4 linked regions of the Drosophila melanogaster genome follow. The protein of the gene in region 1 interacts with the protein of each later gene in a pairwise test. Each region holds a gene or a part of one and is shown in the gene's direction. Other genes may lie near its edges.

The links.
Region 2: the proteins of CG11248 (region 1) and CG13476 interact in a two-hybrid assay, tested with the Drosophila melanogaster proteins (one large-scale study listed by BioGRID).
Region 3: the proteins of CG11248 (region 1) and myd interact in a two-hybrid assay, tested with the Drosophila melanogaster proteins (one large-scale study listed by BioGRID).
Region 4: the proteins of CG11248 (region 1) and CG1137 interact in a two-hybrid assay, tested with the Drosophila melanogaster proteins (one large-scale study listed by BioGRID).

What each region holds. Positions count from the first base shown.
Region 1 is NT_037436.4:21,676,684-21,685,810, forward strand, and holds CG11248 (uncharacterized protein), read left to right. Parts: upstream 1-3,366; 5' UTR 3,367-3,469; exon of another isoform or gene 3,470-3,549; intron 3,550-3,616; 5' UTR 3,617-3,623; coding exon 3,624-5,750; intron 5,751-5,811; coding exon 5,812-5,940; intron 5,941-5,996; coding exon 5,997-6,233; 3' UTR 6,234-6,548; downstream 6,549-9,127. Other genes in the region: Als2 (amyotrophic lateral sclerosis 2), read right to left, coding at 1-367, 487-2,815; Sfp78E (seminal fluid protein 78E), read right to left, coding at 6,645-6,919, 6,982-7,159.
Region 2 is NT_037436.4:14,703,587-14,706,657, forward strand, and holds CG13476 (uncharacterized protein), read left to right. Parts: upstream 1-1,877; 5' UTR 1,878-1,957; coding exon 1,958-2,407; 3' UTR 2,408-2,571; downstream 2,572-3,071.
Region 3 is NT_033777.3:19,177,169-19,185,685, forward strand, and holds the start of myd (mayday), read left to right. Parts: upstream 1-3,490; 5' UTR 3,491-3,948; intron 3,949-8,517. Other genes in the region: CG14282 (uncharacterized protein), read left to right, coding at 1-765; CG5555 (uncharacterized protein), read right to left, coding at 1,090-1,384, 1,451-2,242, 2,310-2,480, 2,543-2,891, 2,959-3,012, 3,237-3,252.
Region 4 is NT_033777.3:6,556,654-6,564,110, reverse strand, and holds CG1137 (uncharacterized protein), read left to right. Parts: upstream 1-3,759; 5' UTR 3,760-3,885; coding exon 3,886-3,961; intron 3,962-4,206; coding exon 4,207-4,804; intron 4,805-4,863; coding exon 4,864-5,013; intron 5,014-5,080; coding exon 5,081-5,396; 3' UTR 5,397-5,493; downstream 5,494-7,457.

The sequences.
Region 1 (9,127 bases):
CCACTGCCTGTGAGATCGTCTCCGGAGAAGCTGCCCTCGAAGTAGTCGCCGCGGTTGGTGATGCAGCTGCCGATTCCAGATCGCTTGTTATCCGCAAACATGCCCATGTACTTGTCCCCGCTAACCAGATCCTCTATCACTCCGTATCCACTGCGTGCATTGGCCTGGTACTCGCCCACGTAGATGTATCGGTTGTTCCGCATCACTCCATGGCCGTGAAACAGGCCCTCGCAAAAATTTCCTTCGTAGACTTCGCTCTCGGGGGAATCCTTACAGTGCATTTCGTAAACACCGTGGCCGTGGAACCGGCCACCTTTAAAGTTACCTACATACAGCCCCGTTGTCGGAATCACCATTTTGCCGAAACCTTAGGAATAACGTTCTTTTAATGCTTTTTTCTATCTCTAAACTATCGTTTTGGATGATCATCGATAATTTACATAGGAGCTATATAACTAAATAACACCCAGGTCAATTATAACTCACCTTCAATGATCCCGTGTTGCAGCTCTCCGCAGTATACACTTCCGTCTGGATACTCAAGGTAGCAATTTCCGTGGAGAACGCCCTTTCTCCAGGTACCGCACGCTTTCACCCTGGAGAACTTTGGGTGTTCCCGACTAAACTCGTACCCCGTGGAGCGATAGCTGGGCACAGGACTTCCGAGAGGTTTGCCCAAGGACGCTATAATGCTCGATTGCAACTGGTCCAGCCACACCTTGCGCATCTCCTGCGAACGGGTGCTTACCAGAAAGGATTTTTCCGGCGTGGTCAAGCGCAGGCTGTCGCCTTCGGTCCACACCCACAGGGTAGTTAAGGGATACGAGTACAGCGAGTTGCCGCTTACCTGGCAGAGGAAGTCCGAAAAGAGAATGAAACTGTTGCTTGACCTGCTGATACCAGAAGTGACTAGTTTCAATGGAACCAAAGCCGACGTCAAAATAACCCTTCTGTGACGTCCTCTGAACTGCACAATCCTCGGGTTTCTATCGTTGCTGCTCCAGAAATCCTTGGTATTCACGGCGAGCTCCTGGCTGATGCAGCTGTGCCGCGCGAACTCCGACCAGGCCACCCTATGCTCTCCGTACTCAGATTGCGTCCTCACCAGCAGCTCCATAAACTGGACAAACAGCTGGTAGATACTGAAGGGTTGCTGGAACAACCGAGTGACGTAGCTCTCCTCGTTGAGCTCGGCCAGCGGGCTGCTGAGTCCAGTAATGGCGACCACCGCCTCTCCAAATCCATTGACCGAGAACACATCGCAATAGGCCTTTGTGTAGCCGTCAAACAGATCGATGTACTCTTTGTAATGACAGATAAACAACAGGTCGGCAGGCTGCACAAAGTCCGCTCGGTAGAATCCCTCTAGCGAATGCAAAGTGGCCACTAGCAGGCACAGTATTCTCTCCCAGTTGATCAGCAAGGGACCGAGGGCGCTGAGCGGCTCCAGTGCCGACTGTCTTTGCCAGATTTCGAGTGTTTGGACTGCCTGTCGATGCTTGAGAAGCAGTTGTAACTGTGACTGCAGATGACTCAGATAGTAGTGATACTGCCGCTGGAACTGCCTTTGGTTTTGAAGTGTGTATCCGCCAGAACACATAAGCAAACGTAGTTGTCTGGGCCACGCTGCTCCCAACTGAAGCTGGAGAAGCGTCTGCGCGTATGTGCTGGACTGCTGCAGATGTCGCATTGGAGGCGCAGGTTGAAGGGAATGTATTTGACCCGAGGCATTGAGCAGTAGTGTATGGTAGTCGCCGCAAGTCGCCTCAAGCGCCGAGTTTTGTTCTATGGGTAGTGCTGCCGTGTTTTCCGTAATTGTGATCTCCATGGGCGAGCTGACATCTTCACCCAACTGAGAGTGGTTGTTCAGGCCCCAGTGGTAGAGCCTTCCGTCCAGAGTGCGGGCCACCGTGTGCTCTAATCCAGCTGCAATGCTGCACACGCCCATGCTGTCTAGTTTCTGCAAGCGCATCACATTGGCCCTCCGGATATGATCCCCACTGCCCAGGAGACCATTATTGGAGGCTCCGAATGTGAAAAGTTGGGTGTGGAGCAGAGCGTATCCTTGGTGAAGAAGGTGCCTTGTGTTAGCCGCAACGCTGCGCTCCGAGTGGCCACTGCTTATGGATTTTACAGAGGCCCGTTCATCCTCGGGTTCTTCCTTCGCACTGGCCACCGACAGCTGGAGTGCATCGTCGGCCAGGTTGTAGGGAGCTACTAACATCACAAAGTGCTCGTTTCCGGCTGCTAAGTCCAACAGTTCCTTGCCCTCTTCGTAAAGGCGCATGTGCCGAGGCTGTTGTTCTGCCTTGAAGACTTCGCCGCAGCTGCCCATGACATAGGTCTCCCCACTAGCGCCGACGAAGACAACGCCCTGGGCGGAGCAGCAAACCCGTCGGATGCGTACGCCCTCAGCATGCAATTCGAGAGGGTCGAAACCGAGGGTTTGCCACGCATGTGGATGACCCACATCCCGGCCAGATCCCGTGGCTTGGCGCTGCACAGAGCCATTGGTGAGGACTACGAATAGTTCCTGACTGCCGGAGCAGAAGTCCATATCCACAACATCGGTACGCAGGAGTTGAAGATCCATGTGTTCGCGGTTGGCCTGCAGCTTGGCGGAGTAGAGGGCGTGGTCAGTGGTCAGAAGGAGCAGTTCCCCGCCGGCATTGCTGCAAATCCGGGATGCGGGAAACCGCTGCAGGGGCGGCAATCCGCGCCAGTGAAGCTGTAGCTCCCTGCCTTCATGATAGATGGTGAAGGACTCCCGCTCCTCCTGACCCCCAAGTGCCGAGTCATCCGCTGCACTGGCCATGATGTGCAAATTTTTGTTGGGGTTTTGGACAGGGCCAAAGCTTTGTAACACGACGCAATTGCTCGATTTGTCTGCAGGTCGTTCTCACATCGTGCACGTGCTCCGGTCCACGCTAGGCACTACTGGCACCAACGAACATCATATAACTTGATTCGGAATGCAACTCTAGCTGCCACGATAAAATAAATTCTGTTTTCACTTGTTCTTAACTGGCTAATAAGAATTCATGTTTTTGTGATGGTTTTTTGGATTAGTGTGACCAGCGCTATCGAGTCCCAATGAGAATTTATTAAGTAAGGGTGTTCGGGTAAAAGTGACGTTCTAAAATTGGGCTTATCACTATTTATTTGGTCCATGCAAATTGTTGTTTTATAACCAATTTTGAAAACACACATAATACCTTATACGTAAACTCAATATTGTAGTTAGCTAGAACTCTTATATAAATTTAAATAACTCCTTAGTTGCATTCGCCATAATCATGGAACCAGTCAACACAAAAAAGTTATTTTGGTATTTTTTTGCGATACATCAATTTGTTTTAATATGGTCATATTGTTTTTGCCATCAGCTGTTCGACTCAAAAGTTTTTGCATGTTTTGTTTATTTCGCTTAAAATGTAGTTTTATCGTTAATTAGGAAAAGTTACCCACGGTAAAAAAAAACAACCGTCAACAATTGTTCAGAAACATCAACTAGTACGACTCAGTGGACACCTCCGTGTGGTACTGCTGGTTTGCATACGCCCACAAAAGTTGTTTTAAGCCACAAACTCACCCTCCTAAAATAAAATTTTTTCAGCTCGGTTATGGATTTGGACTGCGAGGGCGCTACAGCTTTGGCTGACGACTCAGGGCACTTTAGCTGCACTAGCGATGATGGAGTAGGAGATCCTGCTCAGAAACCGGCGCCGCAGCCTGAACCGGACCAATCGATTTTTCTGGTGCGGCAAGAGCTGCTTCGGACGCGCAGTGAGGTGCAAAGGCTCTTAAAATCGGAGCAGTGGTACAAGCAGGAGCTTAAGTCCCAGAAGCACAGCAGGCTACAGACGCTAGAACGATTGTACGCACAGGAACGGAAGTATTTGATGGAGAACCAGAAGCTGCAGCAAGAATCGATCCGCCTGCACACACAATGCGCCACTCTGGAGAAGCAGCAGGAGCAGGGCTCACCATTTTCCCCTGGCTCATCGCCGTTTAAAGCAGACTCGGAGTCACACGACTCCTCTTTTGAGGCCAAACAGCAGGAGGCGCGCCTACGGGATCAGCGTCAGTTGATCGACGTGCTCCGAAGGCAAAAGAAGATGCTTCTGGACGACATCCAGAGGATCAGTCTGGAACACGATGAAAAACTTTCGCAGTTGCAGCAAACTGTTGTCGGCATGGAGCTGGAGAGCAAGCACGTGACTGGAAAATGCAAGCAACTACTTGACCTTAAAAGTCAAATGGAGCACCAGCTAGAGCTAAGAAGCACTACCCTACGCAGTGTCACCGCGGAGCGTGATCAGCTGCGCCAAGTCATTGCTGAGCTTAACGAGACGCTGCAAACGCAGGAGCATCTGTTAGCGCTAAAGGAACAGGAGTTCCTGGATTTGAAACAGTACTACCAACAAAAGCTGAAACGGGAGAGTAGCATGGAAATTATGCACTCTTATAGCATGAAATTTCACGAAGAGATCAACAGAAAAACGAGTGAAATTGCCAGCCTTAAGAATTCTCTTAACGAGCTTCAGGCCGAGCTGATGCTGATGTCTCACATGAAAGAGCAATGCGAGGAACAGCAGCGTCAGCTTGAGCAACTGGAGTTCGCATTGCAGGCACAACTTTTGGAGGAGACTCAACTTCGGCAAAGCAATGCTCTAAAACTGGAGCAGGTGGAAAATTTAACAATTTCTTTGGCTTCGTTACAACTAGATAAGGAAGGCTTAAAAGAAAATTTAGGTGAGGCGCAAAAGACCTTGAAAAATCTACAGCAGAAGGTGGACATTCTTCAAAAACAGTATGCCGAAATGTGCTCCTTGTGTCAAAAGACTAAACAGCAATTGGAACTGGAGAAAATCGAGATTGCCAAAATGAAGCAAAACGGTTCCTTAAAGGAAAGTGAGCTAATGGAGAAACTCAAAGATTATGCAGCGCAGTGTGATGAGCTGAGAAAAGCGTTGGCCGAAGCAGAGTCCCGTATCGATGTCCAAATCAAAAAGACAGAGGGCTGGCAAGTGCAGTTGAAACACAACCAAGCGACCCAAACGGACCTCGAAGATCCGATTTTAGTTCAACGCATTGAGACTTTGGAACAACAACTAGCGGATGTCAGGAGCCAAAAATTGCACACAGTTTCGCTGCTCCAAATACTGCTTCAACAGCAAGAAGCTAAAATCAAGAGCACTAACGAAATGGAAGCAGACTGGCAACAACTGTTAGATGCTCTGCAAGCTACTCAAAGCTTGGAGCAGGAAATGCGATCAGAACTACAGCATAAGACGGTTGAATTGGAGCACCTGAATGAATTGTTCGCTGGACAAAATGATGAACTGCAAAAGCTCCAGAAATTGAGCCAAGCGCAGGACGAGGAAAATCGACTAGAGTTACAGCTTTTGAAGAAAACATTCCAAGAGAATCTGAAGATAAACTCCGCTGCGTCGATTAACATGCAAAGGCTGCAAGGCCAGGTAAAGTCTTTGCTAGATGAGAAGGAGGAAATTGCGCGAGAAGAACGCAAAGCAGTAGAGTGTTTGCGATCTCTTGGTCACGTTCTTGAGATGGAAACAGGAAGGAGGCTACCACATATAAAAAGCTGGCCTCAGTTGGCCAAAATTCTTCGAAAGGAACTGCGAAATGGGAGGGTTAACAATCGAAAGGCTGAAGAGCTTCCTGGGCTTAAAATGAAGCTGGCGGAGATCAGCGGAAGGCATCAGCAAGCTTTGTCAAAAATTAAGGTATGTTATGTCTTACTCCCTTAAAGTAACTCTTTGTAACACAATTAATTGCTTTTTACAGTGTCTGGAGCACACTTTGGTAATGGAGCGAGCGCGGTTTGAGGCCTCGGACTCGGGCAAATCGACGGCTAGCAACACGCCCCAGGAACCCGCCCATGAAGTGGCTAATCTTATTGATGACTACAAGAAGGTAAGTATGTTCCCCTCCGATTGGCTTCTCTTGACATTTCCTTAATTGATTTACAGCTCGTTCAGCAAACCGCCAATGAAACATGTCGCCCTCGCAACAGCTTCATATTCGATCTGATTGAGCGGAGTCAGCGATGCCAACCGAATTTGTGCCAATTAGGCGAGGGTATTTCCGCCTGCCAGTCTGATATGAAGGAGCTAAGCAGGATTATTATTGCTGGTCGGGAACGGAGGAGAGTGGAGCCCATGCCCTCCCTCATGGATGAACTTCGAGCGGTGGCCGAGCACTCTTAGACGAGCATAATTTAGTTTTCAGTCAAATACTTATAAATTTCCTATTTAGTACCTATTTGTTTAGTCTCAAATTTTGTTTTCCTAAAAGGGGCAATTAGTGAATTGAGTTTTTGTGCCTAGTCTCATAGGCCTAATTTTCAATCAGATCCAACTTAGTTCAATTTATATAAATATTTATTTTGTTGTCTTTTGTGTTCGTTATCTTTATTTATGTGTAACGCATTCTGTTAGTTTCACCAATTCTATATACATACTAATTGCCAAACTATACCAATATTTTTTCTACAAGATATATAAACCATTGTTGGTTGCCACAAAAATGTGTAATTATTTTTATAGTCCATAACATTTAAAGTTAAAAACCTTGTGTAGATAAAACATATTTGTGTGAAGTCGATCAGTGCACATCATTTACTTTCGTGGGCACCTAGGGATTTTAGTACCATCGTTCTCCGAAATAACTTCCTTTTTGTCATATATCGTATTTCCGTTTTCATCCACGTCCAGAACTTCCTGTATTACCCCTTTTCGAGTTCGTGTTATCCCACACATAGGCTTATCGTTTTTATCCATGCACAAAATCAGGAGCTCAGTGTGCTGTAGATCAGAGGGCTTTAGGACCTTTGTTACCTTACAAGATGCCGTAAACTTTATGGGGCACGTCACCCCGGCACATTGCCAACCATCTGGGGGGAAATAATTATTAACATAGATGTTCCAATACTACTCGTATCCATGTAATCCATACACTTAGTCTTCTTTACCGTCGCTCGATTTAAGTCCTCATTTAGGTGCCGATCTCCGTCTGCCTTAAAATAAATGTACGATCCATAATACTCCATATACGGATTTACCCTTACCACGGTGTGGTCAGCAAAAGATAAAATGGCCAGCACTACCAATATTAAGGAGATAAAGATATTCATAGCTCAACCTTGCTGATGCAGTTTTCCTCTATGACTGATTGATTCAAACAAGTCTGCTGATGTATTGGATCAGCCTAATGTGTAATGTGTGTGTTCCACAGAACAAAGATACACCCCTGCAACTGAGTTCAGAATTTAATAACACTATAGTTTATATACGTTTCCGGACGTCTTACATTGGGAATTGTTATTCCTGTATTGTATTCACAATCAGTCACTTAGAAAGTCGCCTTGGAAGCGGAAACATGTCTTCGTCAGGGTGACTTAAGCTGTGGCAAATTGATTCTCCAATCAGAGACGGTGGCATTCTTTTCCATTCCGTTCGAAATGCATTAGGCGTAGGTACCCGACAACACCCTTGGCATTGTCAACGCCTGGAAAGGAATCCGGAGGGACCCGCACGAGGAGGGCGATCCACTTGGGTATTGATAAATGCGTTGAAAACTAAGCGACCGCCCAGTGGATTACCACGGCCCCACGCCAGGCTGCCCGATTCCCGATCCTCGACACCCCTCCCGCTGCCAGCTCGCGATGAGGAGCAATCGACAACAATCGCTGGTCAAATTCAATTGGCGCAATTTTTCATCTGTGGCTCCCAGGGATCCGATCTGGCGGATCCTTTTGGCTCTGCCTGCTGCCGTCTATTGTTGCCCTGGGCCTTGGCAATTGTTCTCGGCTCTGGATCTCTGGAGCTATGGGGCCATGGAGCCACGGGGCCATGGGCTATGGAGGTATATGGCTGCGGAGCCCTTGGGCTCAAGGTTGTTTATTTTGAAAAATCACCATCACCCGATCGTGGCTTGTGCCGACGGCTGGGGATTTAATTCTGTTCTGGACATTTATAAATTGCATTCAATTTATACACAACACGAAAGCGTGATTTTTACATTTTTACAATCTAGCGAATAATAGATCAGCGTCGTATTATTGCGGACTCCTTGCTCCAATGCTCTTTGGGGCCATACCTTCTTTGGGTCTCCAGCCCGTGCCGTGGACTGGTAGTTGATTGAAAGTAGTGTTGCTCAGGCAACAACTAAACCAATAAAATACGCAAATATCTATAATATTATTATTTATATATTCCGTTGAAATTGAAATTATCCTATCTTAATACTGTAAATATATATTTTTTATAATTTCTTAACGTCAACAGCAATAATATATAATAATATATATAATATAATGTAGTCGTAAACAATTACTTATTCTGTTCAGTAATGATACATTGTTGAATGCTTTTTAATGGCAATAGCCTTAAATTCGGCGAAAAGTTGAATAACTACGATTTCATTTCGTTTTTCATTAAAAATGTTGGAAATGTAAAAATTTCAGATATCTCTTAAAATTGTCTGTTTACCCGCATTGACACCCGTTCGAGGTCTATTATTATTGGAGTCCAAGTTCCCAGCCAGGTCCAGCAAGGTGGGGACATCGTGTCGTCCGTCCGAGGGTATCATTTTATTCGATGAGAGTGCTTTTCGCTGTACTTCTCTGGGACTCTTTGATTTTTTGATTTCGGTTCTGTGCATTGAGCAGGTCGCTCATTAAAGCGGAGTAGTAGGCGGGTGAGGAGTGGTTGAGCTGAGGGAGCGGTGCTGGCCAAACAAAAGGAATAAACATTTAATTCTCACCAAAGCGATTGATGCTGTCGAGGGATTGAGAAGCGATGTCGAGCACCGTCCCATGGCCTATCTGCCGGGCAAACGATCCTTCTGCTCCGGCAGGGCATCAAATCTGGTAGGCCAGTCAGTCCTAGTGCCAAATTGCAAATTCAACTTGTTAACCTTGAAAGCCGATCGGACGGATCAGCCGGCGGACAGACAGTCGAGGAGCCTGACCGCAGATCGCGCACAGTATGAGGCATTTAGTCAGACGTCGTCGTTGTTGCTGTAGTTGTTCTTGCTGCTGATACCACTGATGCCGCAGTTGTTGTGGTTCGTCGACGATCCCTCGTTTGTCTAGCTGATG
Region 2 (3,071 bases), 7.0 Mb from region 1:
GGTTTATCGAATTTTTCCGTCAATTATGTTGGTTTCTGTGAAAAAGGTTGCCATGATTGAATTACCATAGGATTTCAACAAAATATGTGTCGCAGTATGAAGACCTTGCCGAAACTTGATAAGCAAGCACAGGCAGAGAAATAAATAGTCCCTTTTCTTTTCAAGCCGCAATAAATCACCTGCCAACCGCACATCAATTTTAGAAAGCTCCAAATGGGGATGCAAAATAATCAAAAGCGCAGAACCTTAGTTAACTGCTATATTTCAGCCAATCAATCAAACTGGTTTCAATTATTTTTTCATACATATTCAGGTTTATAGTGTTTATATGTAAGGTGTTTGTAGGTTCTTTATTGAGGCAAATATATATAAAAGAAAAAAAATAAATAAATAAGGTACATTTTGAACTTCACTATAAACAAAAGTCAACACGTCCTTAGTCTCTTAAATATGAATTCGACTTTAAAATCGAATAGTATTTGCAATCCACATCAGAAATAAAGTTCTCTTAATTCAGACTAACAAAAAAGATTGATGTTCTTATATATGCATTCACATAAGTTCGACATGGAAGAAAAAATAATCGGAAAATTGCCAAAGCTTCTTCCTTTTCAAAAAGTGTTCTGCATTTGTGTGGGTATAAACGTGTCCTTGTGAGTGTCTGCACTCATGCATAGAAATAAGCCGATAAAACCCTGACAATTGTGTCATGGAGTAGCGTTTTAGTTTTGGGATTGGACTTAATGCCTCTTGACTTCAATTTGCATAGTCGGCTTAGCAACGTTCGTGCAATGATTGAATGACAAATTGATAGAATTCGGCATTTACCAGTTGACAGCTAAGGAAGAGCTTTTTCCGGTCGGAGGAAACGGAAGAAAAGTTAAACCGATGATGGAGATTTCAGTTCAAATTCTGTTTGAGCATGATTTAATTATCGTGCCGGTTAAAAAGGACTTTTCATTTGCCTACAACAATGTTCACAACGAGTTGCGCCTTTTTAATTATAAAAATCAAAATTCATGAAAAGCTCTTAGAATATAGAGATATGATCTTTTAGTGTTTAAATCTCTTGAATGCGAGTATAACATAATATATATATAAATAGGCTTTTCATCATCACATATAGATGATTTAATCCTTCTTCTCCAACAAAATTTTAAGCCATTCCCAACAAAGTTGTTAAATTGTTAACAAAGCGAACATTTTCACTCAAAAAACGCCCCTATCGCATTGACTCTGACCTAGACCGCAAGCCGTTTAGATCCCGCAGGACTTCCCATTAATCCAATTAGGGCTGAACATATTTGCTTCTCATTAAAAATGAAATCCTTTGCTTTGGACCGGAATCAAGAGCTTTGACCAATTACCAAGCGTTTTTTCATTTACGTTCGCACATTCGAAATAAAAAATTAACCAGGAAGGTCGCAGATAAAGGCATTGACAGAGCAGCTTAGAAATCTCTTTGTCAGCAACTTAAATGAAAATTAAGACATCTGCTTTCATTTAGCTTAAGTGCTTATCTTGCGAAGGACGCAAAGGCAAAGGACACGTTTGCCCACAGGACAATCAATTATGAATGCAACACCGAGCACCATCAGCTTGGCAAAATAGTCTGTAATAAAAGTTAGGTTCATGAGGAGTGCGATGCTTTTGGGCGGCTAATGATGATAATTATATGTTTTAAGTGACATTGATTTGTCGCCTTCAGGATGGGCCGGGAAATTCCCATGATGTTTAATTCATTAGCCAGCTAATCGGCTTACTCTGATAATTAATATAATTGATGTCAGTCATCTTATTGTAGCGCCACCCAAGCAGGCTACTCATTCCCAGTTGCCTCTGTGTCATTTCTATGGATCTAAAATAGGTTTCCCAGTACTATTGACGCCCTGAAAGTAATCAGATATTCACACATAAAATAAATTCAAATAAAATCTGTATATTTTGTACGCTCACAATGAACATGAGGGGAATGGCCAAGCGTTCTATTTGGCTGCAATGTCTTCGGGAAAATGCCACCAATATGCGCCTGGAGCACGAGGATCTGGGACGTCGCATTGCTGTTTCTTTGGCCAGTTCCCAGAAAGCTCTAGTTGATATCGAAAACTTGAATCAAGAGCTGTTAAAAATGAAGGACACAATCCATAATGCCATTTCCAATGTTATGGGCTACGAAAAGAAGTGTTGTGAATTGCTCCTGGAAATTTTGATTAAAATAGTTGAGAACAACGACCTGGATGCCGAACTAAATCCCAAAATGATCTCCAAGGCGTTTCTCGACTTGGATCCGAGTTCCGACGAGACAGAAGTTCTGAATGACCGTAGTCTTGCAGCGTCTGATTTTAATCAGCAATATCCAAAAGATGTGCCGGATTCTATTGATATAAACATAACAGAAGACCAGTAACCATTTTAAATAGGATCCAAGACCGCACCAATTCGATTACTAACGTCTTAATTTAATGCGTTGTCAATTCCACCTCACACATTTAAAAGGAATAATAAGGTGGTCAGGGCTACAAATGTTTTATATTTTTTATCGATTCAATTAAATTTGCATGGTGAAATGACAAAACCCATTGTCTCTTTCTTCAGTTTATAGTTGTGGGAAAGTTTCTAAGACGTTCGAAATGTTAAAACCCTTGAAACGAAAAAACTTAGGATGACCATAAAAATACAAAATTATGAACAGAAAGAAAAGAGAAAAGCACGCCAACATCCGCACAAATTGTCCTGCAGAAAAGTCAAGACAAAATCACGTATACGCACTGTGACAACCCACAGCCTGGGTTAAAGACAATCCCAACTGGTAATCCAAGTCGTGTGCGTAGCCAGCATCCATGTTCCTAAACAATTTGTCGGCGATTTGTCGGCAAACTTGAGCCATATACGCCACACATACGCACCGAGTGAGCCATATTGCACATACGCCCCGTGTGACCCACAGAGGAATACAAAGAGTAACGAGGTTAAGTGACCCAACCAGCAAAACAACCTGTTGACTCAGGCTCTCTGCTCTCTCACTCAAAGCAAACTCACTCATCGGTGGGTTTGTTTTGCTCCGCTCTTTC
Region 3 (8,517 bases), on another chromosome or scaffold:
AATCTGAATCTAGAGCTAAAGGCGGAGCTGGCCAAGATTAACAAGGCGAACCAGAAGTGCGGGCACGAGAAGAAGGGCAAGGTAGTTTGCGAGAGCACCGAGGATGTGACGAAATTCGCCCAGCGGATCAATAGCCTGGAAGAGGTGACAGCGCACTTCACCCAGCGTAGTGAGGAGATTCGAAAGAGGCGGGACAACATCATCATCTATGCCCGCCAGTGCCTGTATGCCTACAACGAGGAGAAGTGCAAGTTCAAGTCGTTCCACGAGAACACGGTGGACTACATAAAGCGGACGGCGACACTCTCCCAGGATGCGGAGGTTATCCGGGCATGCGGAAAGGAGGTGTGCGAGCTGCATAAGCGCTTCGTGCGTGAGGTGGCCAAGCTGAAGAGCTGCGAGGCGGAGCTGCTGCCCTTTTTCAAACTGCTCAAGGATTCCGATCCGAAGACCTACTGCGAGTGCTGCTGTTTCAAGGGATACGACTGGATGCCCAAGAGCAAGAATCTGGAGGCCGTGGATGCAATGGCTGGCGAGATCAAGGAACAGATGGGCGACGTACTGGTCAGGGCCTTCGCTCAACTGCACATTCATTCGCCGCAGGATCCACGCGCCTTTATTGCCGCCTATCTGATGAATCTTGATCGTAACGAGCAGGAAATGAAGGAGAAGCTCGTGATTTTCCAAGCAGATCCAGCAGTGCAACCCCAGGAGCTTTCGGATCCCACATTCAATTGCGAGGATATTTGTCCGAAGCCTGAATGATATCATTATTAATCCACGATTGTATTCGAATAATAACTTTAAATTGGCGAGCTAAGTACACAGAATTTATTGCCACCAGCGGAAAAATTTAAATGAAAAGCGGCTTTCTTCAAACATTTTATTAATTCAAAATAAACACGCAATACATTTTGGGACATATGGTTTTCTACGTAGTAGTAGTTATATTTAATCCTTAGGTTTTCGTTATACAAAGGAAATCACATATAGAGCTGTTATAAACCTTATATACTCGGTTTGCATAGCCATCTAAGATCGGGTAAACAATGCAGCTTGGATATAAAGACGGCGTACGGTGGCTATGATTTATTTCTTGCGACGATTACGGCGCCGGGTGTTGGGATCCGGTTCCTTCTCTGCAATGCCTGTAACGGTGCCACCCGCTATCTCGGTGTTGGCCAACTTTTGCTGATTGTCCAAAAAGAACATAATGTCGCGAAGCTGTTCCTTTAATTCGGTCACCTCGGCGTCGTGGGTTTGCTTGAACTCGTTGTACTGCTGTTCCAAGAGTTTGTATTTGCCGTGCCAGGAGCTCTGGTTGCTCTGCAGTGCCTTGGACAACTCACGCTCTTCGTTCAGCTGCTTCTGTACATCCTTTAGCCTACAAGAGCACGAAATTGGTTAATATTTGGTTAATTAGGAAAGGCGATGTGAATGTATTTCTTACTTAGCTGTATGCTGGGCCAACTTGCGCTCCAAATTGACCTTTTCTTTCTGCATGTTCTGCTGAAGCTGTTGAAGCTCGGAAACCTCTGTCTTGGCGTCGTTGGCAGTCGCCTTGTGGTTCTGCCACTCCTGCTCCAATCGTTCCATGCGCTCCTCATAGTACTTGCGCTGTGTGTCCAGCTGAGAGGTCAACAGGTATGTGAACTCCATCTGCATGGAGTCAATCTTTTCCTCGCGCTCATCTTTCTCGGTTTGCGATGCCACCAGCTTGCCGTCGGATTTGTTTTGAAATAAGCGATGCACAAAGTTGTCACCGGCATAGTCCCATACGCTTGAGGTGCCCAACTGCATGGCAAAGGTGTGATTTGTGGCCCGGAAGTGTGCAGCAGCATGTCCTCCCTGGTAGCGTCCGCAGCCCACATGTCCGCAGATCAGGCAGATCCATAAGGAATCGGTGCCCTCGCATTCCATGCACACGGAATCTTCGACCAGTCCAGGAGTTTGAACATGGCGGCACACCGGACAGGTGGAGTCACCCCATTTCATCAGGCAGCTGGCGTGGAAGGCGTGATTGCACAATATGGTCAACACTCCATCCACGCTCTCGTCCATGCGCTCCAGGCACACTGGACAGGTGGGTAGCTCGGTGTGTCCCATTGGTGGTGCTCCATGCTCGCTCCTTTCCACCTCTGATACCCAGACCGCGTGGCACAGCGAGTCCGGTTCCAGTGAGTTGTAAGTACTGCCATTATAGGACTTGTAGAACTCCAAAGCGGATTCATTCGAGCGGAATCTATAAGAGTGTGATTATATTAGTAAATATCCGTGAATCTGTAATGTCAGATTGGAACGCCGCTTACTCCAAAAGCACCATGAACTGATTGGGGCTGCCGTCACGTACAATCTGGATGTGTTTAATCTCTGCATGACAGGGGGCAATAAAGTTCAGCAGATCGTGGCAGTTAAGAGTGGCCGGCACGGCCAGCAGGCAGAGTTGGTTAGATGGAGCTTCCTTGATGGCCTTGCGTTCGCTGAAACATACAGAAATAATGGTGAGTGAAATATTTAGTAGGATAGAGCAGAGTTAACCCACTTTTTCTTGTAGAGATGGATAAGACCTTTGGTCACCTCGACGATGGGATTGCCGGAGAAGTACCCTATCTCTTGGGGAAAGTTGGAGGCGCTGGCTCCCGCCTGGCCATCATCGCCGCTCCGAGGAGTTATCTCCCGGGAGCTGCCCGCCGAGGGGCTGTTCACATGCTGCACGGCGGCTACCCAGTTCATCTCCTGCTGTCTGGGTTCACTCAATTCCCGCTTCCAACGCTGGTTTGTGTACGTTTCGATGGTGATGTCGCGGGATTGGCGAAGTCCGCGGTCGCGTTCCCGCTCCTTGAGCACTCGGGGATTGGTTGGATGTTCGGCGGACACAGCTCCCTCAGAATCTGTTCGAAAATATAGAATTAATGCACTTCCTTTGTCCGAAGCTATCGTTGCTGCATTGAATTTTACCTGCACTGGGATCCAAATCCGTTTCGATCTTGATCACACACAGGGAAATGTTTTCTAGCATGACACGGGCATAATTTTCATTAGTTTTTATATATAAAAAAAAGCCTAAAGACCGTTCAAAGTGTAATTTTCTATTTTACTCTGTGCGAAATGAGTTTGTTATTTTTCTATGTGAACTAGTTCGCGCGGAGTGAACGGCCATCGATTGCTTCGCGACAAAAGTGTTTAGTTCAACAATCGCTTATCGATAATGCCTACCAACACTGATTGTAACGTACCTGGATTCAAGTCCATCGAAATTCAAAAGATTAAAATATTAATTTCGTGCTCGGTTTAGCAGATTTTCATCGCCAATAGAGAAAATGTATATTTTTACTCGTATGAAATGATAAGTGAATGGAGCCAATAAAATAAAAGTGATTTCCTGTGGAACAGTGTGCTATGAAGTAACATACAACTTGTCGGCTTCGCTTGACAACTTCGGCTGTGGCCACTTCGGTCGGATCCGCTTGGCGAGTTGGCCAAAACAAAGCCAGTGCGTTGCTGTTGCTGCTGCGTATCGGACGTGTTCGGTGAGCCAGACTCGCGTCATCCGTGATTTGGGCCATAACAAAAACAAGTTTACGAAACTTACGTCGTCATCTCGTTCTTTCCCGCGCGCGTAAACCAAGTCAAAATAAAAGAGAAGCAAAACAAAAAGGCTGTCCAAAGGAAATTGCAACAAATCAAAAACCAAAAGCGAAAGCAAAAGTGAGTGCAATAGTTTTTTGTGATTTAATTCCATACCGTTTGCTGCAGTAACCATGGGCTGCGCCCGCGGTTAACACAACAAATTGATTACCATGGGCGCGGCGGACCAAAGTCGATTGTAATTGCAATTACCAAGATTGGACCACAAAGTACATTTAACCGCACACACACGTGCAACATTCAATGTATGGACGCGGCCGTAAAAACGGTCATCGCAAGGAGTCAACCTATTGATTTTTGGTATTATTTATTAAGGGGTTCGCCCATAAACCTGCTTACCAAATTCGCAACTGGCTCACCTTTCTCACAACCGCACTCATATGCTAACAAACAAGACCGGAGATCAAAAATAGCCGTGGGTGCACAGTGAGAAACATTTGTGCTGAATTACCTCTTTTAATATATTTACTGTCTATTACTATGTGTCTATGTGTCTTTACTGTCTATGTGTCTTTGTAGTTTGAAATATTAGTTAAACCTTAAATTTCATCAATCAATCATAACTAACTCAATCAATGAATGAAACTTTGCGTTTCCTTGCCAAATATTAATATTAAACGCTCTCACCACTTTTAAGTGAAAGTAAATTTAACCTTTCTATGCAAAATCTAATTTATAAATAATATAATCTCCATGGTGCCGCTTTTTTGGGCCAGTGCATGCGTGTGTGAGGACGTCAGCCCGTTTCTGGGTTGCTGCTGACAGCTGCCAAGTGCCAGGAGCTTGTCGTCAACAAGTCTATCAAAAGCACGTTTGTCATTTTTGTTGCACTCGCCCAGCCAGCAGGTGGCACCTCCCAGCGCCACCCACCCACTCCATCCACTCCATTCACTCCACCCACTCGGCGTCTCACTATGTAAAGCGTGTGTGTGTCTGAGAGCTGCTTTTGTGTTCGCCAATTTGAAGTTTGTTTGAAACTACATGTATTGCCCCCTCGCTGACATTCATCCCGCAACGGCGCTGAGCACTCTGCCATTTTCATTTGCATTTTCGCCGTCCCGCTTTTCCGCTCTCCGCCTTCGGAAGAAAATCAATTGTTGTATGCAATAAACGCAAGGCGAACGGAACGAAACGCTGCCAACCAGTTTTTGCAGCGGAGCCAAAATCCGTTTTCAGTTTACATAAACCGAGTTTGACTCAAAAAAGTTGGCAAAACCATGGTTTTTTGTTTCCCTCTTGCTGTTAAATTATGCACAGTTTATATATAACAAACGGTAAATAACTAAAGCTAAATAGTTTATTGATTTCCCAAAAATTTCTTAGCATCAGCTTTCGCTAATAAAATTTTATTTAATTTAACTATGTTTACTTTTAAACAAAGTGTGCTCAGCTACACACCTTTTGTGTTGAAGGAAACACTAATAAATACTTAATTTATTGAGCTTCTTTTAATTACCCCGCTTATCCTAAAAGGTAATCAATTATTAAAAGCAATTTACTGAGAATATTTAATTAGGCTTAAAGCTGTTTGTTCCAGCCTGCAAATTCAATAAAATGAGTAATGTTTTTAAAGAGCATTTCTGCCAAGCATATTTAGTGCGAAATTAATAAAACCATTGAGCTGTGTATTATAATTAGATGTATAATAGAAAATCTATAACTACTTTTTATTCAATTTTTGTGTGCACTTTGTGTGAAACTCGTTTGTTTCAAATCGATTCAGCTGTTTAAAGCGGCGTCTGCAGCCGGATTTAAAGTTGCATCCAAGAGCTTAGTGACTTTAAAGCTTAGTTTTAGTTTACATTTCACACCTTGCAACAAGCAGCACCCACAACCCCCCGCCCCTCGTCTAGGAACCCCCCCCCACCCCTCTGCCGACGTCGACTGCGCTGCTGTTGCTTTATTCAAATTGAGTTGTTGTTTATTCATGCATTTGTTGCACTTCCCTACGGTTTATTGTTGCCCCAACACCAACGACGGCGCAAACACTCACATGCACTTGCTTCTTGTATGTTCATTTGTGGGGGGGAATCCCCCCGCTAGATGGCACCACACCCCCTCGCCGCCCCGCGCCACCCAACGTTCTCCAGGCCTGACATTTCTAGCTCGACTCAAGTGTCTGTTACGTTTAAATGTCGGCTCATAGCTACAGTTGCAGTTAAAATTACAAGCCAACTCACATGTATGTATGTAAGTAGATATACATACATACATACGTACATGTTGACATGTGGCATTTTGTATGTCTATATGCATAAGCAGTTTGTTTGGCTGTGTGCGAAGTTGGCTTGAAGTGCACTTTCACTTTTTATTCACCCATAAACAAAAACTGGCAAAACGACAATCGTGGTCCGTCTCTTTCACTCTCTAACTAGCCAGTTATATCTCTATCTCTTCCTTTTTCCATTCCCACTCTCTTTCCATCTCTTTCTGACTTTATTTTTTGGAAACTTCTTTTGGCCAGTGCTAATATGCAATCGGTGGGGGTAATCGCGTTTTAGTTCCCATTGTACCCATTGCCATTTCGAGCATTGTAATCCCAACACACATTATAATTAGAAACGTATTTGGTATCAATCAATATCATCTGGCTTAGATAAAGAGCATATTGAATGAAAGGGCAAAAGTACAGAACTCATATTACGCATACGCAGCGTTGTACCAAATTAGACCTGTATGTGGGAAAATGTGCTTTTCATGTATTTACGAATTCAGGCTAGGCCTAATCAAAATGCAATTAAACTTGGCTAAGCACCACAAAAAGGGAAACAGCCGAAAAATGAAATAATAAATACGCTCTTGTGGTAATTTCATTTTGTTGTAGTAGAATGGGTCAGACACCCAAGAGTTAGCTGGGATTAGCTTCGTTAATCCACTTTGTACTAATTATCTGTGAACTAAGGCAATCTGTTTTTTGTTACACATCCCTCTCTCCCTTCATACACACAATGTGTCCAATTTGATTGATTTGGTTTGGCTGGGGGAAACCTATCTTCTAAGCTATGTATTTTGGGGGTTTTTGGAACTTAAGCCATCCATCAATGTCAACAGATTTCGGTTGCCAAAAAAAGAACTAGGTTAATTAAAATTTTATTGCATTGTATTGTATGGTATATACAAGTAAAGAATCCCTAGTTACTCAATATTACCCAAGAAGTCTGTAATTGGAAAAAGTCCAACAGATCTATTACCAAATCCCGAAAAAAAGGGATAAGCAAACGGAAGAGAACGACGATGAAGAGCAAGGGAAAGAAAAGGGCAATCATTTCAATAATCCAAATAGCAATCAATATGCAACTCAGACTCCAATTTCCATGCCGCATTGGCCCCAAAGTTGTTTCGGTTCCATTTTCGTTTCACCATCCAGGGAACACCTAATAAAAGCTTATTTGCATATGAATGCCTCGTCGGTTAAGGGAATTCAGTGTGTAAATTGTGCAAAAATGCGAGATGAACTTCTTTCGGGTCGGCGCAATGGCAATGGGAACTTTCGGTGAGTTCTCCACCTTGCATCTCATCTGGCTGAATGGGTGTGGACGTGTACAGGAGATTGACATCCGGGAATGTCCTGGCCCCGGAATGCCAACTGCCTTCCAGTGTGTGTGTGTGTGTGTGTGTGTGCCTGTTTGCTCGTCTGCACTCATTTGTTTGTCCCCAGGTCGAGGATTTTGCATTCAAGTGCATCCATCCCAGGTTTTGTTGTGCACTTTGCCGGGTCAGCCGTTGCTCATTCGCCAGCTTCCCATGCCCTTCTGTCCGGCGGAATTGCCGTGCTGATGGTGATGATGCCACCTGCTGCGTTGTCAATGAAATTGCTCTGCATTGCAGGGACAACGCTGCGTATACGCGATGTGCAACGCCAAACAAACACGCTCTGTTTAAGTCGTTATTTTTTTGTTGTGCGCCACGGTTAAAAAACGGATGCTAAAAAATACCCTTTTGAAAAGTTTATGCAAAAAAAAAGCGGTTGATTTCATTATAATAGATAAATTAAATAAGGGTGCGCATGCAATTTAATAGACGGTAGATCAAATTTTAAACAGTATTTGAGGAAACCCAGTAACTAATAATATATAACTTTTTTTGTTTAATTTAATATAAATTTTATTTTAATTAAAAATGGTTTTTCCTAAAAATGTTTGGTAGATTGCAAAATTAAAATACTTTTTATGCTTCAATTTAAAGGGTACAATCAAATCGAGCTTCACAATTGTTGTACCCATCTTTTCACCTCTCCACTGGGTATTTGCATTGGCAGTGCGCTTTTTTGGCATTTTCATTCTCTACAAACAACAAACAAATCAACTTATTTGCCAGTTTCCTGCCCCTCTCCACAGCCTTGCGTTTCTTTGGTTGTTGGTGTTGGTTGCACGTTGTTTGCTTGGCACTGATTGAGTGCAGTTTTCGCATACATCAACTGCCAGCCGACACATACGCACACACACATTCGCAAGTCGGCCGGGTTTGACTTTGGCCAAAAGAAGAGTAAATTATGGCCACAAAAACGGGGTGGAATATCTTAAAGAAAAATAGAAAAATATGAAGCCTCAAGCACAAAAGAACACAAACCTGTTTCAAAGGAGAAAGCAAATTTAGCACATCACGTATATTACCACTAATCCCAAAAAAAAAAAAACAGGAAAAACTCTTTTGCTAATTGGAATAAATGATGGCCTTAATTGCTTCGTGGGCCTTCAACTCGAGTTCATTAAAAAGTTAAATTAAATCTATCAGCCATCAGATGGCCCTAATTCCTTTGGGACTTTGGCCTACGATAATCCTTTTCAACATCAACATTATTACCATAGCCATCAGGGGTCGTCAAATCGTTTCGAGTTTTAATTGAAATGTCAGAGTCTCGAAAATTGT
Region 4 (7,457 bases), on another chromosome or scaffold:
CCCATCCCACTCACTGCCCAACTTTGAGTGTAAGATTGATTTATTTTTCATTTGCTGTGCTTTGCTTTCTGCTGCCCCACATTTTTCATAACTTTTTCTGTGATTTCCGCTCGCCGGCACTAAATTTATTTAAGTTATAAATTGTGTTGGAAATTTGTAAGCATTTAAAAATGATTTGCAGCTGTCGGCTCCCTCGATCTGCCTTAAAGCGAAATAAATCCAATGTCACAACTTAAGCACTATCAAGTTATTGGCATAATGTGCAGCTGCTGAGAGCTGCGTTGCATATACGCAGCGTCGGATCTGTGCATACATAAATTGTGGCAATAAAAATAAAATCAACAGCGTTGCGCCTTTGGTTTCGTTTTCGGCTTAGTTTCTCTCTCTTTTGGGAAAACTTTTCACTTTCCTTTCTGCTTTCCTTGGATCTGAAAGTGGAACTGGAGACGGGGACATTATTTCTTGCTTTCATTTCCGTCTGTTTTGTCTGCTTGGCTTTATTGCAGTTCTCGCAACTCGGTTTCTTTCCATTTTTTTTCCCGGCTCAGCAAATAAATATCACAAAAATTCGCTTCCAGTTCCGTCGGGCATTTCATGAATTTTCCCCGCATAGAAAAGAATTTTCCCTCGATTTTCTTTTGCGCTCCTTTTTTCTTGCTGCTTGCCACTTTGCCAGCTTTTTGTTTCGGGTTTATCCGCGGAGTATTTTCCCACGACTGCTGCGAAACAAAACAATGAAATGAAAAATTATGGCCAACGCCCCGCTTCCCTACCACGCTTTTTTCACTCTGCCATCATCCGGTGTGTAAATGTGTTTCTGCCATCAATTTTTATTGCAAGGTGAGTGTATCAATAAATTAAACATAAAATTTTCAACCGGCGGAGGCGAGAAGTGCAGTGGCCACGCCCCGTTCTACCCAGATTTAAGCTGAGCATCTTGTTGAGCCATTGAATTGAATTTGTGGCCATTAAATGCATTCGGATTTGGCCAATTGGCATTGAAGTTGTTTCTCAAATTGCCTTCTGACTTCCTTCATCCTCCCACCGACGTCTTCGTTTGCTGTGAGTGTTTTGATGGATGGCCTGGCAATTTATATATAATATGCCTGGTAAGCAAGCCAAATCATTGGCAAGTGCTTTGATTTTCCAAAAATAGCCACAAACTAATTTTCAGCTTGCAGAACTCAAGCCTTCACGATAGCCAAGAAACTGTATTCAAATAGTCGCTTGGCATTCTCGTAGAAGCATTAATCTCTCGCCTCGCATGCTCCTTGGCAGCAAAAAACAAAGCGCAAAATCAATATATTCTATATCAATATTAATGGACCTCAGTTCGCGCACACACTCACACAAGCACACTCACACCTCAAAAACGGGGATAAAAAAGTGTTGACAGCTGCTTTTATTCACCTGTCAGGCACACAAGCCGCGCTAAACCGTTGATAAGCAGCCGTCCAACAGCATGTCATACGTACATGTGGTCCAATCCAACCCCCTTGGGCGGAGAATCCAGGTCCAGCTATCTTCCCTTGTCCAGCCGAGAAGACCGGGCAATAAAAATCCATCAGCATCATTTATCAATAGGGGGTGATTTTCTTCCCTATTCTGCCCAGTCCAGTGGCCCTGAAGAAATATGGAAATATCAAGCATTCATGTAGGAGAGCTACAGGAAAATGTGTCATCTGTCGAAAGAAACTTTGTCGGGCCCAATTCTAGACTCCAGGACCTGGTTGTCACAAAGCATAAATGTCAGAAAGTTCGGGGTTGATAAATGACATTGAGTTCCACTCGCCAATGTATTAATTTGAACCAAGACAAGGGGTCTGCCAAAAAAAGGTCACCAGAACAGAACAAACATATACCACCTACGTGAAAAACATATAGCTGGTGATTTCAATACTAACATGAAAAGCATAAAAAATCACTGAATATACACTTTATATGGTACACGCTCTTAACACAAATAAACTCTATGTTTAGTAACTATCATTGTGGCTTAAGTTTATTTAGAAAAAACACTTGGTATTGAAGGTATACATATTTCAAAGCATACGTATTTAATTTGCCGATTTTTTTTATAAATGAAACTTAAGTGGTATATAGATTTTAAAATGCCTACGACTAAAAAATGTTTATCCAGCCTGAGGAATATTGTGTTTGATTTTCAAGTAAACCCTATAACTTTCTAGCTTTCTGTTCTTTTCTGATCGACACATATCAAACTTTGTTTCTATAGCACTTTTAATTAGTTTTTAAGAATTCCAAAGATTATTGACTTGGATAGAGACTTGCCTATATTTCTGAACATTCGTAAACTAAATTAAAGTTTTTCCAGGAATCTGGCATCCATCTCCTCCCCAAATTGTTTCGCAACATTTTTAATTAGTTTTTATCTCGCTCCATGTGCCGTTGCTGTCATCTGATGGATCTTTAGCATAAAGTGCAAATGTAATTCAATTTCGATTTCCCCAACGTACTGCTGCAGCTGACAGTTCAATTCCCGATACTTTTCTGGTTTTTTATTTGTGTTCGGGATGCAAGTGTCTCTGAAAGTTATTTGCTGTCGCTTGGCTCTTGTTTGCTGGTTGCTCACTGGTGGCGCGCCTTTTGCAAGGCAAATGAGCGCCGTGCCAAATGCCACGCCCCGAAACGCCCACGCCCCTCTACCCACTCCAAAAAAAAAAACAAAACAAAACGGGGGAAGGCTCTCAAACAATATCTGATAAGCTGCATCAAACATTTGCATACTTCCGGCAATTTGTTTTTGTGCGAGCCAAACGAATCGAGACAAATGCAATAAGCGCAGAGCAACAACAGCAGCTATGGAAAATGCGATAGAAAAAATGATAACTGCCAAGATTTTTCAATCAACGAAGAGATTATACACTTTCTTGCTCAAATGTAACTGCTATTTGTGACCAAAAATTACAGACAAAATCCAGAAATTTTATGATTATTCGAACGTTGAAGATTTTAGTTGTGGGAATTTCGACACTGTGGGCACTTCATGATGCACTATTTCCCCTAAAAGGGTATTCAAAGCACAAACAACTCAGGATGAAACCGAATTCACTGGCGCATACTGTCCGATTCGGTTTCGGATTCATATTCAGAGGCGGAGATGCAGGATGGTCGAGTAGTGCATACAAATTACGCCCCGAAACAGTGCCACGCCCCTAAAAACTCCCTCAATAACTCCGCCTAGAACACGTCCCCGGAAAACAGCCAGCCCCTCCCCCACGAATCGGTTTATTTAGGTGCCTCGCCTGTGACTCGCAGCAAGTTGTTTGCCATGTGCTGTGAGCTGAATGCGTCTTTACCAGCCAAAAATATTGTTAGCCATAAATTTTTGGCAACACAGCGGAACAGAGGAGCGCACAAAGAGCTGCAAAAAATGTGCATCCAACATCGAGCAGGAAGCGCTGCATTTGTAGTCACAAATTCCGGGGCATTTGTTTAGAAACTTTGTCCGCAGTCCGCGACTGAAACACGCCATGTAATGTCAACTTGATTCGGGTCCAAACAAGAGCTTCCACTTGAGGAAGTTTGCAGCTCAGCGGAGCGAACCCAGTGGCAGATAGATGTGTCGAGGATCCGCTTTTGTAAATATACGAATTTGTGTACATAAATTGGGCACATCGTTCAGGGGATCAAGGCAACAGGGCTAACTTCCATCACAGTGCAGTTCGAGTTTCAGCTCAGAGCAGGAACAAATTTACACCGACACACAAAACCACTGCTGTCAAAAAAAAAAATAATAAAATAAAGCGAGAAACAAATAAAAACAAGCTCTTTACAGTAAAGGCTGCTTTCGCAGCACCTTAATCAGAAAAAAAAATAAATGAATTATTCACAAAAGACTATTTAAAAACCACGAACAGCAAGATGAGTTTGACGGAGATGATGCGGGGCAAATCGATGCCAGCGGAAAAGAAGAATGACATCAAACTGGCCCAGCATGGTGAGGTGTTTAGAAATCTTAAGCAGACTTAACTAAATCTATTGTTCTAAATTAAAATAGCAAAATAGCTATTCTTCTGTGTTTATTACAACCATTTAAAAAGTCTGCTTAATTACAATATAAAAGAAGTGCGTTCAGACAAATACCTTTTATGTGCGTTTATAAGAAAACATTGTATCTTTAAATTTGGGACACAAAACACTTGTGTCAATGTTTAATCACATAATTACACCTTCTGCGCCTAGAATTTGCAACCGTGAGAATAGTGCAAATCGGATGTGTTTTAAATGTCCTGGCCGAGGCCATCGAACGGGTTAAGATCTCGCTAATCATGCCGAAACTGCTGGAACACCCCGCGCACATGGCTAAGATTCTTAATGGAACCAAGTACGAAAAGGCAGTTCACCTGGTGGAATCGTTTGTTCGTCGAAGGGAGTTCATTCTGCGGGAGAAACGTCCGCCCCTGATGGATCACGGCATTATCCAGATCATCGATTTCTTCCAGCGGAACAGCAGGATCTACCTTCTGTTTCCCAGCTACTACAACCACATGAGCGACAACGAGAAGAAGCTGCTGAACGCCTTCGAGATGCTCTATGATCTGGCCAAGGACCGCTTGTACAGGACGTCCACCGACGCCATCGCCCAGGAGCGCCAGCTGCATGCCATGTACAAGCAGAACGAGGTGGTCAAGGAGCAGGTGGAAGAGCTGCGCAAGAAGATCCTGGATCAGAAGGCGGCCATCAGGAAGAGCTTGGCTGATAAGGAGGCCTACCTGCAAAACTACGAGGACCTCCTCATGAAGAAGAAGAGGGAGAAGAACGAGCGAATCCAAAAGGAAATGTGAGTGATGCTCGTAGAAAAAATAAATGTTCCTTTAACTTATCAGTTTGTACTCTCAGCGATCGGTGCACTCGTCTGGTAAAGGCCAATAAAAAATTAAGTTTAGAGCGACAAGCTGATTTGGAAGAACAGCTGCAAAAAACGCGAAACAACTATAACTTAACCACAAAAAACTATTTAAAACAGGAAAAGGTGTTTCGAGAGGAAAAGTAAGTGAAACTGGATTTTTAGACCGACAATATTTAGATAACATCAACAATTGGCCAAAATCCTTAGAAACAAGCTGATTTTACAACTACAAGCCATTATCAAGAAATACGATCACAGCATTGGCGAAAAGATGATCGAGAACATGGAGCTCGCCGAAGAACACAAAAAGGCTAAGAAGGCCCTCGACGAATACATGATTGGGTTCCTGAAGGTTGAGCGGGTCTACAAGCAGATCGTCGTAAAGCGAGAGGAAGAGGAGGCCAGGCACCGCCAGCATCGTGTCCTGTTATTCGCCATGAACCGCGCAGCCATCAAGATCCAGAAATACTGGAGAAAGTGGAAGAAACACATGCGCAAGAAGAACAGGCGAAATAAGAACTGAAACCATTTTGAATAGCCAAAATTTTAAGTGGATACTAATTTTTGGTACTAATTGTAGAAAATAAAATTTTAGAATTATTTTTTTTGGACTCTACATGAAAGTATGTACATTTACCATGTGTCGACAACTGAAATAGCTGCTAAAATTCTGTTAATATGAAATATTCATCCTGTCACTAACTGCTTTCGACCAAGCTGCATTAGCCTATTAGAGGAAAACTAATTTCGCTTTTAATCTGCCGGCTGGCAAGCCACAAAGACACCTCGAACTTGCCCCATCTCTTCCACTATCTGCCCGCCATGGTGTGTCATTTGCATTTAAAATGTGTGAGAGAGGTTTCTATTTTAGCTGCCCTATATTCCACCTTTTTTCGGTGTGGAAAATGCATTGAAGGGGGATTTTTATCACAATGTGCAGCCGGAATGAGGGGACATTGTGTAATGCGATGGGGCTAAGTGCAGCCAAGTCAATGCCAAAACTGCCGGGCCAATACGGCAGGGAATTTTGTGGCTCATGGTGAAAGGGGGAAAAAAAGAGCGGGACAGCTGGACAACCCAAACGCCTGGTTAGTTTCGACCATCGAAACGAATGAACGAACACCACCGTATATGCAAATTACGCGCACTGCTCATGCCCTGTCATGAATTGTCACCCATTTTCCAACTGAGATGCTTCGACACGCGCAGGGTGGGTGGTGAAACCCCTAGCGGTAACGGGAAGGGTTGGGTAAATGGGGAATGGGTGTGGGAAATGTTCCTAACCAAGAGGTAGATAGACCGCAAAACAGCCAAAGGCCCGACCGGGTACAGTGGCAAGAGCACTCATTCGCCCCGTTGGCAGCAACACTCATCCGCCCCGTTGGCTGCTCCATGACTTTACGCCCGAGAGCAGCCGACATGAATATATCTGCTGCTAATATCAGGTTTCCTTCCGCCCCCGAAAACCACACCATCCCACAAATGGTTTCGAATTGCTAATTTTATCAGCACGTGCACACATGTGTTACAACATTTTCTGCGCTAGAAGGACATCCTTTCTGCGGCCGAGGACATTCGTTATCGGCGATCTACGTTTGGCATTTTATTGCAGACCATTTCAGTTCGACCCATAAAGATTGATAATTATGTCGGGCTAATATTGTCAGCCGTAAAAATTGATATCATCGGATGGGCGCTGGAAAATATTTTATGGTCAACCTTCAGGCCGATTGTGCAATCCACATAAAACGCTCATATTAATGATGTAAGGGGCAAGAGAAAGACACATAAACGGAGAGAGACAGAGGGAGAGAGAGAGACAGAGCGAATGCAGGAGGTACAAAATCCAATGAATATAAACAACAACAATTGAAATAATGGCAGGCAGCTAAAATCCTATCACAGGACTCATCCTTACAACCAGGCAAAGACCGCAGTAGAAAAGCTTTCCACCTCTATATCCTGTTATTCCCTATTTCCATCCAACTGCCCCTGTGTTGGTGCTTTGTCCTGACGACTTAATCGCCGTAATGGAAATATCATTTTTATTAGAGATTCATTTCGTGCATATACAGGAATCCGTTTTCAGAGTATTTGCCATTTCAATTGTTATATTTATTGTGCCACGGTTCCCGCCGATGGTTGCAGTAGAAACAAAATTCGTTCACGGATTTGCATTTTTCTTGAATACTCTAGCTTATGATATTAAAAATATACTTTGGGGATTAAAAAATATTTTAATGGCTTAAATAAGTTTAAGTACAAAATTAAGAAAATTTCAAATCATCTAGATAGGGTTAAAGGTGTGCAGATCCACCCATTATAAAAATAAACATTTTACCCATTTAGTTTTTTTCAAAGAATACAGCTCGAGGGATCATGGCGTAAATTCCATCAGATTTGGGTAACAAAATATTTACTTAATCCCGACCGTTTATGGTGCTTTGCTATGATTCTTTGTCCTGTCAGCCGGTTGACATTGTGCACAGGATATGTGTAGATTGTGGACTCGATGCATTCGTATGCGATTCCATTTACGTTTGCGCTTTGCCATTCAACTAAATCTCATTGATACTATAACTGG